2 linked regions of the Oryctolagus cuniculus genome follow. The protein of the gene in region 1 interacts with the protein of each later gene in a biochemical or structural test. Links are inferred from orthologs where the notes say so. Each region holds a gene or a part of one and is shown in the gene's direction. Other genes may lie near its edges.

Region 1 (3,533 bases):
CATGTTGGATCATTCTCTCCCTTTTTGATTCTATCAGCTAGTATTTGCAGACACTAGTCTTGTTTATGTGATCCCTTTGGTTCTTAGCCCAATCATTATGATCAATTGTGAACAGAAATTGATCACTGGGACTAGTGAGATGGCATTGGTACATGCCACCTCGATGGGATTGAATTCGAATCCCCTGGTATGATTCTAACTCTACTGTTTGAGGTAAGTCAGCTTGAGCATGTCCCGAATTGCACATCTCTTCCCTCTCTTATTCCCACTCTTATATTTAACAGCGATCACTTTTCAGTTAAGTTTCAGCACTTAAGAAGAATTGTGTATTGATTACAGTATTCAACCAAAAGTATTAAGTAGAACAAACAAAAAAATACTAAAAGGGATAACATATTAAGCTGCTCATCAACAGTCAGGGTGAGGGCTGATCAAGTCACCGTTTCTCATAGTGTTCATTTCACTTTAACAGGTTTCCTTTTTGGTGCTCAGTTAGTTGTCAAAGAGTGTCAATTTGTTAAGTCAACAACAGGAGTCACTGTGCACTTATTCCTCATGTAGGATCTTTGTCCTTAGTGTGCTAAGAGATTTAATGCTATAACTAGTACTCCAACAGTATTTTTCACTTTATGTTTCTGTGTGGGAGCAAACTGTTGAAATCTTTACTTAATGTATGCTAAACTGATCTTCTGTATATAAAGAGAAACGAAAATGAATCTATATGTGAATGGAAGGGGAGAGGGAGTGGGAAAGGGGAGGGTTGCGGGTTGGAGGGACGTTATGGGGGGGAAGCCATTGTAATCTATAAGCTGTACTTTGGAAATTTATATTCATTAAATAAAAGTTAAAAAAAATATTAATTCAGACTTGCAAATCTCCTTGGTGGTAGTCAGAAAAAAGTTATTGGAGACTTGATAAAGATGGCTATTTTTTTAGGTAAATTGGAAAATTTTTCTGAATCTCTGCAATAGAAAAATAGTGGCTTCTAATAAAATACAGCATCTTAATACTACAGAATTTTGAGGCCAGTGTTGCCAGCATGCCATGTGACTGCTGGTTCAAGTCTCAGATGCTCCAGTTCTGAACCAGCTCCCTGCTAATGCCTGGGAAAGCAGCAGATGATGGCCCAAGTGCTTGGGCCCCTGCCACACAACATAGGAGACCCGGATGGAATTCCTAGCTCCTGGCTTTGGCTGTGGCAGCATTTTGAGGAGTAAACCAGTGGATAGCAGATTGATCTTTCTGTGTCTTTCCTTCTCTGTCTTTTAAGTAAGTAAGTAAAGTAAAAAAAAAAAAAGGAATAATAACAAAAAATACAGGCTTCTGGCTATTGGCAATAAACTCAGGAAAACAGTGTCCGCAGCTTTGAGTCCTTTACATAACAGAAAGGAATGATAACACAGTTTGACTAAACAAAAATGCTGCCTTGTACTTTGGAAAGATTTTATCGGTTTGTCCTTGAAGTCTTAGCTGATAGCTGAAGAGGGTACTGACCTGGAGAAAGATCCTTTCTTGTAAAGCATACTAGGAAAAAGATAATAGTGAAAATCCAAATCAAAAGTAGAGATTTGTCAGGTATTAATATTGATTATTAAGTCATCTTTTATATCAAGTTTTTCCCACTCCTTTTTTAAAAAGATTTATTTATTTGAAAGGCAGGGTTACAGAGAGGAGAGATAGCAAGATCTCCCATCTGCTGGTTCACTTACTAAATGCTTGCTTGTAAGAGCCTGGAGCTTCATTTAAGTCTTCCACAGGGGTGCAGTGGCCCAAGGACTTGGGCTATCTTCTGCTGCTTTTCCAGGCGTGTTAGCAGGGAGTGCGATCAGAAGTCGAGCAGCTGGAGCTTGAACCAGTGCCCACATGGGATGCTGACATTGCAGGCAACGGCCCAAAAGTGTTTTTTTTCCCACATTTAAGAATAAAAGTTTTAATATATTTATCTGAACTACAAATTTATAAAGTTAGAATTTTGCTTTATCCAGTTTTATTTAGTATCTGTTATAAAGCTATAGCCAAAATAAATAGGAGCACATTTGTTTCTCCAAAAAATGATTTTCATCAGCTGCCTTCAATTATATTACTGATATCTTTATATCAATTATTTTTGGCAATAAGGAACCCTAGTGTTTTATTATTTATGGTATAACATAATTCAGTAGTAAACATTTCTAGACTGATACCTTTTGTCTTTATTTTCTAAGAATTTTTATGTTATATTTAAAGATATTAAACTTCTTGTAGATTCATTGGTTTTCTTTTTCCCACCTAGATTAAGGAATGGAGTAAAATTTTGTAAAGTACAAAAATTTCCTGAGGTATGAACTTTATTTTAATTCAATTTGTTTTATGTGCTAAAGCATTAATATAACGCAGTGTAGAAATAAATTCTTTTAGCATGATTGAAAAATGGAATGGACTGTAAGAGCCCATAATGGTGTTCTCTGTTGAACATGATTTAAATAATGTAAGATCTTGCAAGAGTATAAAGAATAAAATTAGGAAAACAAATATCAGTATACTTAAAAGCAACATGTTTCACCGTTTCCACATTTTGAGCATTTCTGGACTCAGGTTGTAATTGCAGGTTAATGTTTAAACTTGAGACAATATCAGTTTTTAATAGACTTCTTTATCTAGCGGATAAAATTAAGTAAAATATTAGGTAATGTTACCTTTGTAAATTTATTTTGATTGAACAAGTTTCTTCTTGTAGAATGATAATGTTTATGTAGTAAGTTTTACCACTTGGAATGTTTTCAGTTTTTTCTAATGATAAATTAGGGTTTTGAATTTTGTTGTCTTTTAGATTTTATGCATCCACCTTAAAAGATTCAGACATGAACTGATGTTTTCCACCAAAATCAGCACTCATGTTTCATTTCCACTGGAAGGCCTGGATCTCCAGCCATTTCTTGCTAAGGATAGTCCAACTCAAATTGTGACTTACGATCTTTTGTCAGTCATTTGTCATCATGGAACTGCAAGTAGTAAGTACACAGCTCTAACTTTTGTTCTTAGATTAAATAGAAGTAAAACATATGAATTAATCTCTTATGTAAGACTTACCTGACCAGAATAAAAAATGTAAAAAGTTAAAAGCAAAAGATTTTACTGCTGTTTTTAAAAAACATGCCATATTTTCAGCTTAAAAAATATTAAACATTAATGGAGATGGAAATACTTTTTACCTTGATTTGATTAGTATACATTGTATACATATATTAAATTATCACATGGGCCTCATAAATATGTACACTTTTGTGTCAGTTTAAAACATTTGTGGATAAAAAAATCGCAGGTGAAAATTTGGTGCAGCAATTAAGCCACTGCTTGGGGTGACTGCATCCCATATTGGAGTGCCTGTGTTCAAGGCCCGAATCTGTTTCTGCATCTAACTTCCTGCTAACACACACTCTGAAAGTACTTAGATCCATGCCACACAGTAGACCCAGATGGAGTTCAGAGCTCCTGGCTTTGGCCTGGCCCAGTCCCAGGTGTTGCAGGCATTTGGGGGAATGCATCAACAGATG
Region 2 (4,316 bases), on another chromosome or scaffold:
ACCGGGTTCTAGTCCCATTTGAGGCGCCGGTTCTGTCTCGGTTGCTCCTCTTCCAGTCCAGCTCTCTGCTGTGGCCAGGGAGGGCAGTGGAGGATGGCCCAAGTGTTTGGTCCTGCACCCCATGGGAGACCAGGAGAAGCACCTGTTTCCTGGCTTCAGATCAGCGCCGTGCGCCGGCCGCTGCTGCGGCCACTGTGGGGGTGAACCAATGGTAAAGCAAGACCTTTCTCTCTCTCTCTGTCTCTCTCTGTCTCTCTCTCTCTCTCACTGTCCACTCTGTCAAAAAAAAAAAAAAAAAATCCCTTAGAGTCCTAAGCCCAGAAATGTCAATCATCCATCATCCTCCCTGAGGTCCAATGTGACAGCCCCAGAAATGATCCTCCAGTCCGGCCCCTCTTCTCCCACCCGCTCTCAGCCATCTCCTACCCTCCGCAATGCCCAGGATTAATCTCCAAAAACAGAACTCTCATCGTGACACTCCACGGCTTTAAAAAACCGGCCCGGGTTCCACGTGTCCTCCTGCGGGGCGGGCCCGCCGCCCCAGTCTTCCCCTCTGCCTGCGGGACAGGATGTGCCCGCCTCGCCTCGCCTCGCCTCGCCTCGCCTCGCCTAGCTTTCCCTTCAGAACGCCCTTGCTCAACGTGTGCCCGTTCTTCGGAATTGGCGTCCTCACATTTCCCTTCCTCTGGGCAGCCTGCCGAGCGCAGTGAGCTGCTCTGTCTTCTGAGTCAGCCCTCTATTATAGCATTCCTGGACTCATGACACCTGTCCACGTGTTCCTCGACTGGACCAGAACGCCAGGGGCCGCGATCACTCATGCGTGTCTCCAGGGCTCTGCTCAGCGTCTGGCACAAAATGGGGCCGGGGTGTGGGGGCACGGATGGATGATGGATGGATGGATGATGGATGGATAGATGTTAGCGGGGACCGGCGGGTGGAGACGTTGACATTAGAAACCCTGCACAAATCCAAGACAGACACCAGGGGGAGCTGAGACACCGCAACAAAGCCGGAGGGCGGGCCTAAGGAAACCGCAAGCTCTGGGATGAGCCGAGGAGCGGCGCGCACCCTAGCAGGCATCATGCAACTGGAACGGCTCACCCACGTGTGCATCCCCTCACCCTCCAGCCCAGACTGTTTGAGTTCATTCCACCGCCCCCACCACCCCGGCAGCCCCCATCTCCACCGAGAAAGCAAACAAAGGGGAGGAGACCCCTACTGGGTTGTGGATGCCAGGAGCCAATCCGAGGGCTGCAATCTCCTGAAGGGCGGGCGCCTCGTTGGAGCGGCCCAATCCGCTTGCAGGGATCTGCGGAAGGGCGGGGAGATGGGCGGGAGAAGCGGGAGAAGGGACCGCGCGCACGGGGGGAAGGGCTCCCCTGGGGACTGGAGCGCAGAGGGTGGAGGCGGAGCCAATCACCGCGCGAGTCTGTGAGGAGAGGGCGGGAGCGCCCGGCGCGCGCGATCCGGCTGACGCATCTGGCCCCGGTTCCCCAGGCCCGGAGGAGGGGCCCGCAGGGGAGGGGGAAGAGGAGACAGAGCGGAGGACGCGCGTGCGCAGTGGCGCGGGGAGGAGCAGGACCTAGCAGCGGGCGAGAAGGCTTGCGAGCCAGCCCCGAACCGGGCGGGCGGCGGGCGCGCGCACCATGGGGGAGAAACCGGGGACCAGGTAAGGGAGGTGGGGCCGCGCGGCGGGATATGGGTGGCTGCGGCTCGGGGCTGGTGCCGAGATAGTCTCCAAACAAGGACACCGGGGAGGGAAAGCTGGGGGCTGGACGCCTGGGTCCCCAGGGGGCAGCCATCGGGGCCCCACGCTTAGGTCCTCGAGGGTACTGGGGTGAGTGGGGGCGCATGCACGGGCCCTTGCAGAGAGCAAGGCCTGAAGGGTACCAGAAACCGGCCTCGGGGGTCCTCGCAGGGATGTAGGGGTTCTCGCGTGCGGGCTGCGATGTAGGAGGAAGCAGGAGCAGGTGGCCGGTCCCAAAGGGTCGCGTCCCAGGAGGCTGGATGCTGGGAAGGGGATTCCCCCTCTAGACTCGTGCGGAGCCCGAGGGAAACCTGCCCAGTACCCTACAGCAGAAGGGCTGCCCCCACCTGTCCCAAGGACCGGGCGGCTCCGCTTCCAAACTTCTGCCTTCCCGTGGGTTGCCAGGAGCAACAGCTTCATCTTGAGGGAGCAGAGTGCGTGGCGACCCTCCCCGAGGCTGGGCGCCGCGTCCCTTCCCAGGGCGCGGGGGAGAAGGGTCTGCCCCGAGCCACGCATCCACTCCCCGGATGTTTTCTGTGCAATTGAGGCTCCTTCCTTCCACGGACACCCCGAGTTCTCTTTTTTGGTCTCTACCAAAATCCACTTCCTGTTGTGACCCAACACCCCCAAGGGGGCAGGGAGTGAATGCCGGGGCCCCAGGGGAGCAGGAGCAAAAGAAAAGGTTGGGGCTGTTTGTCTCAACCAGGAGGGGCTCATGAGTGGTCCTGAGCTGTCACTAGAACTGCAAAACAAGATCCCATCAACCCCACCCATTGAGTAGGAGAACCCAGGCTTCGGCTTCTGAGCGTAGAGTAGACCACTATCAGGGAGAGGTCAGCGCAGCAAGGGAAGATGGGTGTCCTGGATTAGGGGCTAAGCACCCTCAGAGAAGGGAGAAGTCACTGACTTGGAGGAGGCCCCCAGTTTCCGTTATGTGGTTTAGGGAGTGGGGGACGGATGGGCCAAAGGAGGGCTGCTGACTTGGCATAATTCCCTCCACCCCCATCAAATTCTGGGCCACAGGAAATGGAGAGAATAGCAGGAAGCGCGAAGGGGCATCTGCTTCACTGCCCCCCACCCTGACCGGGCACCTCCCTGCTCATCCCCACACTGTCTCCCTGGGCGGCCTGAGCACGCACACGCTGCTCCTCCCTGCCCTGGCAGGAGGGGGCCAGGTTAGGATCCAAAGGGCAGGTGCTCCAGGGTAATTGCCCCAGAGCCACACTCCTCTTGGCCAACTGATTAGCGCCCCTGCTGGGTAGAAACGCTGGGGCAAGGAGGGGACCCAGAAGCAAAGGGGAGGGAGAGCCTGGATGATGCCAGAGCAGTCAGCCCCCCCTCCCAACCCAGGATGGGCAGAAGGTAGGGTGCTCATGCTGGCTGCCCCCTCATTGACAGCTTAGTGACTGGGGAACTTCAGGGGCTGCTAAGCCCTTTGCCATATGACCTTTGGACAGCTTGCACTGGGGAGAAGGGGCAAGTGGAGTTCCTGGAGCAGACACCGGGGTGCTGGAGGGGAAGGAGGGAAGGGCCAGGCGGCAGCCCTTCAGTTTCTCCTCTCTGGGACCCTTTCCAGCGGGCACTGCCGAGCAGAATGGACTAGAAGGAGTTAGATGGTGCTTCCAAGGACAGGCCCACACGTGGCCAGAGCAGGGGTCGCCAGACACGTCCCTCCCCTTCCAGAGTCTGATGAGGCTTAGATAGTTTCAGCAGCTGGGAAGAAAAATGCCCTTCGGCTCAACAAACTGTCAGTGCTCACTACAGAGATAGACAGTGTAACCGTGTAGCTGTTGGGAGCTGAGACCCACAGCCAGCCTGCCTCAGTTTGTGTCGGACTTCTGTTTTACTCTGTGACCTTAGACGAAGTAGTTGACCGCTCCCTGCCTCAGTTTCCCCAACCCGTACAATAGGGCTCTTGGGGGCCCACCACTGGGCTGTTGAGTACTAACTGCGATCACGCACTTGGAACGGTGCCAAGCACGGCACAGTCACGCAGAAAACGTTAGCCACAATCACCCTCTGCAGCGTGCGGTGGCTGCCGCGCCGGGTGTGCCGAGGTGAACGAGGCCTCTGAGGCTTCGCAGGGCGAGGAGGGAGGCAGAGGAGGCACCGCTAACTGCTCTGGGTGCTATCACACCGCAAGCGAAACATAAACAAGATGTGACAGGAACCCTGAGACTGGAGGGTCTGGGGCCTGGACTGCGTCTGCTTGCCTTGAAAGACAAATAGGACCTGAAGCTGTTGAGGCCAGAGACAGGGCCGGTCGGTAGTTCAGGGAGCGGGGTCAGCCTTGGGTAGTGCCTCTGGTAGGAACTGTTTGGCGGGACAAAGGCCAAGGCCGAGCTCTCCGTGGAGCTGGAGACCAGATGGAAAGACAGTGAGGTCTTAGGGAACCACAACCTCCCCGTTCAGTGCCCCCCGCGGGAAGGCCCCTGGGGAAGAGCCTGGGTGGTTCCTGGAGCGGCCAGAAGCCATTCCCATGGTGGGAGGGGGGTTAGCGAGGGTGGACCTAGGACAAGAGAAGGGGCGTTTGCCCTAGCAACCGGCTTCAAGGGGCTGCCGGGTGTAT

The links. The genes of interacting proteins can lie anywhere in the genome.
Region 2: of the proteins of USP33 (region 1) and ARRB2, one has a biochemical effect on the other in vitro, tested with the Homo sapiens proteins (2 studies listed by BioGRID, with this or other methods). The link is inferred for Oryctolagus cuniculus from reciprocal best matches to the Homo sapiens genes USP33 and ARRB2.

Annotation. Positions count from the first base shown.
Region 1 is NC_091438.1:94,096,077-94,099,609, forward strand, and holds part of USP33 (ubiquitin carboxyl-terminal hydrolase 33), read left to right. Parts: intron 1-2,272; coding exon 2,273-2,318; intron 2,319-2,809; coding exon 2,810-2,990; intron 2,991-3,533. UniProt on the Homo sapiens protein: Deubiquitinating enzyme involved in various processes such as centrosome duplication, cellular migration and beta-2 adrenergic receptor/ADRB2 recycling.
Region 2 is NC_091448.1:51,504,661-51,508,976, reverse strand, and holds the start of ARRB2 (beta-arrestin-2), read left to right. Parts: upstream 1-1,512; 5' UTR 1,513-1,646; coding exon 1,647-1,669; intron 1,670-4,316. UniProt on the Homo sapiens protein: Functions in regulating agonist-mediated G-protein coupled receptor (GPCR) signaling by mediating both receptor desensitization and resensitization processes.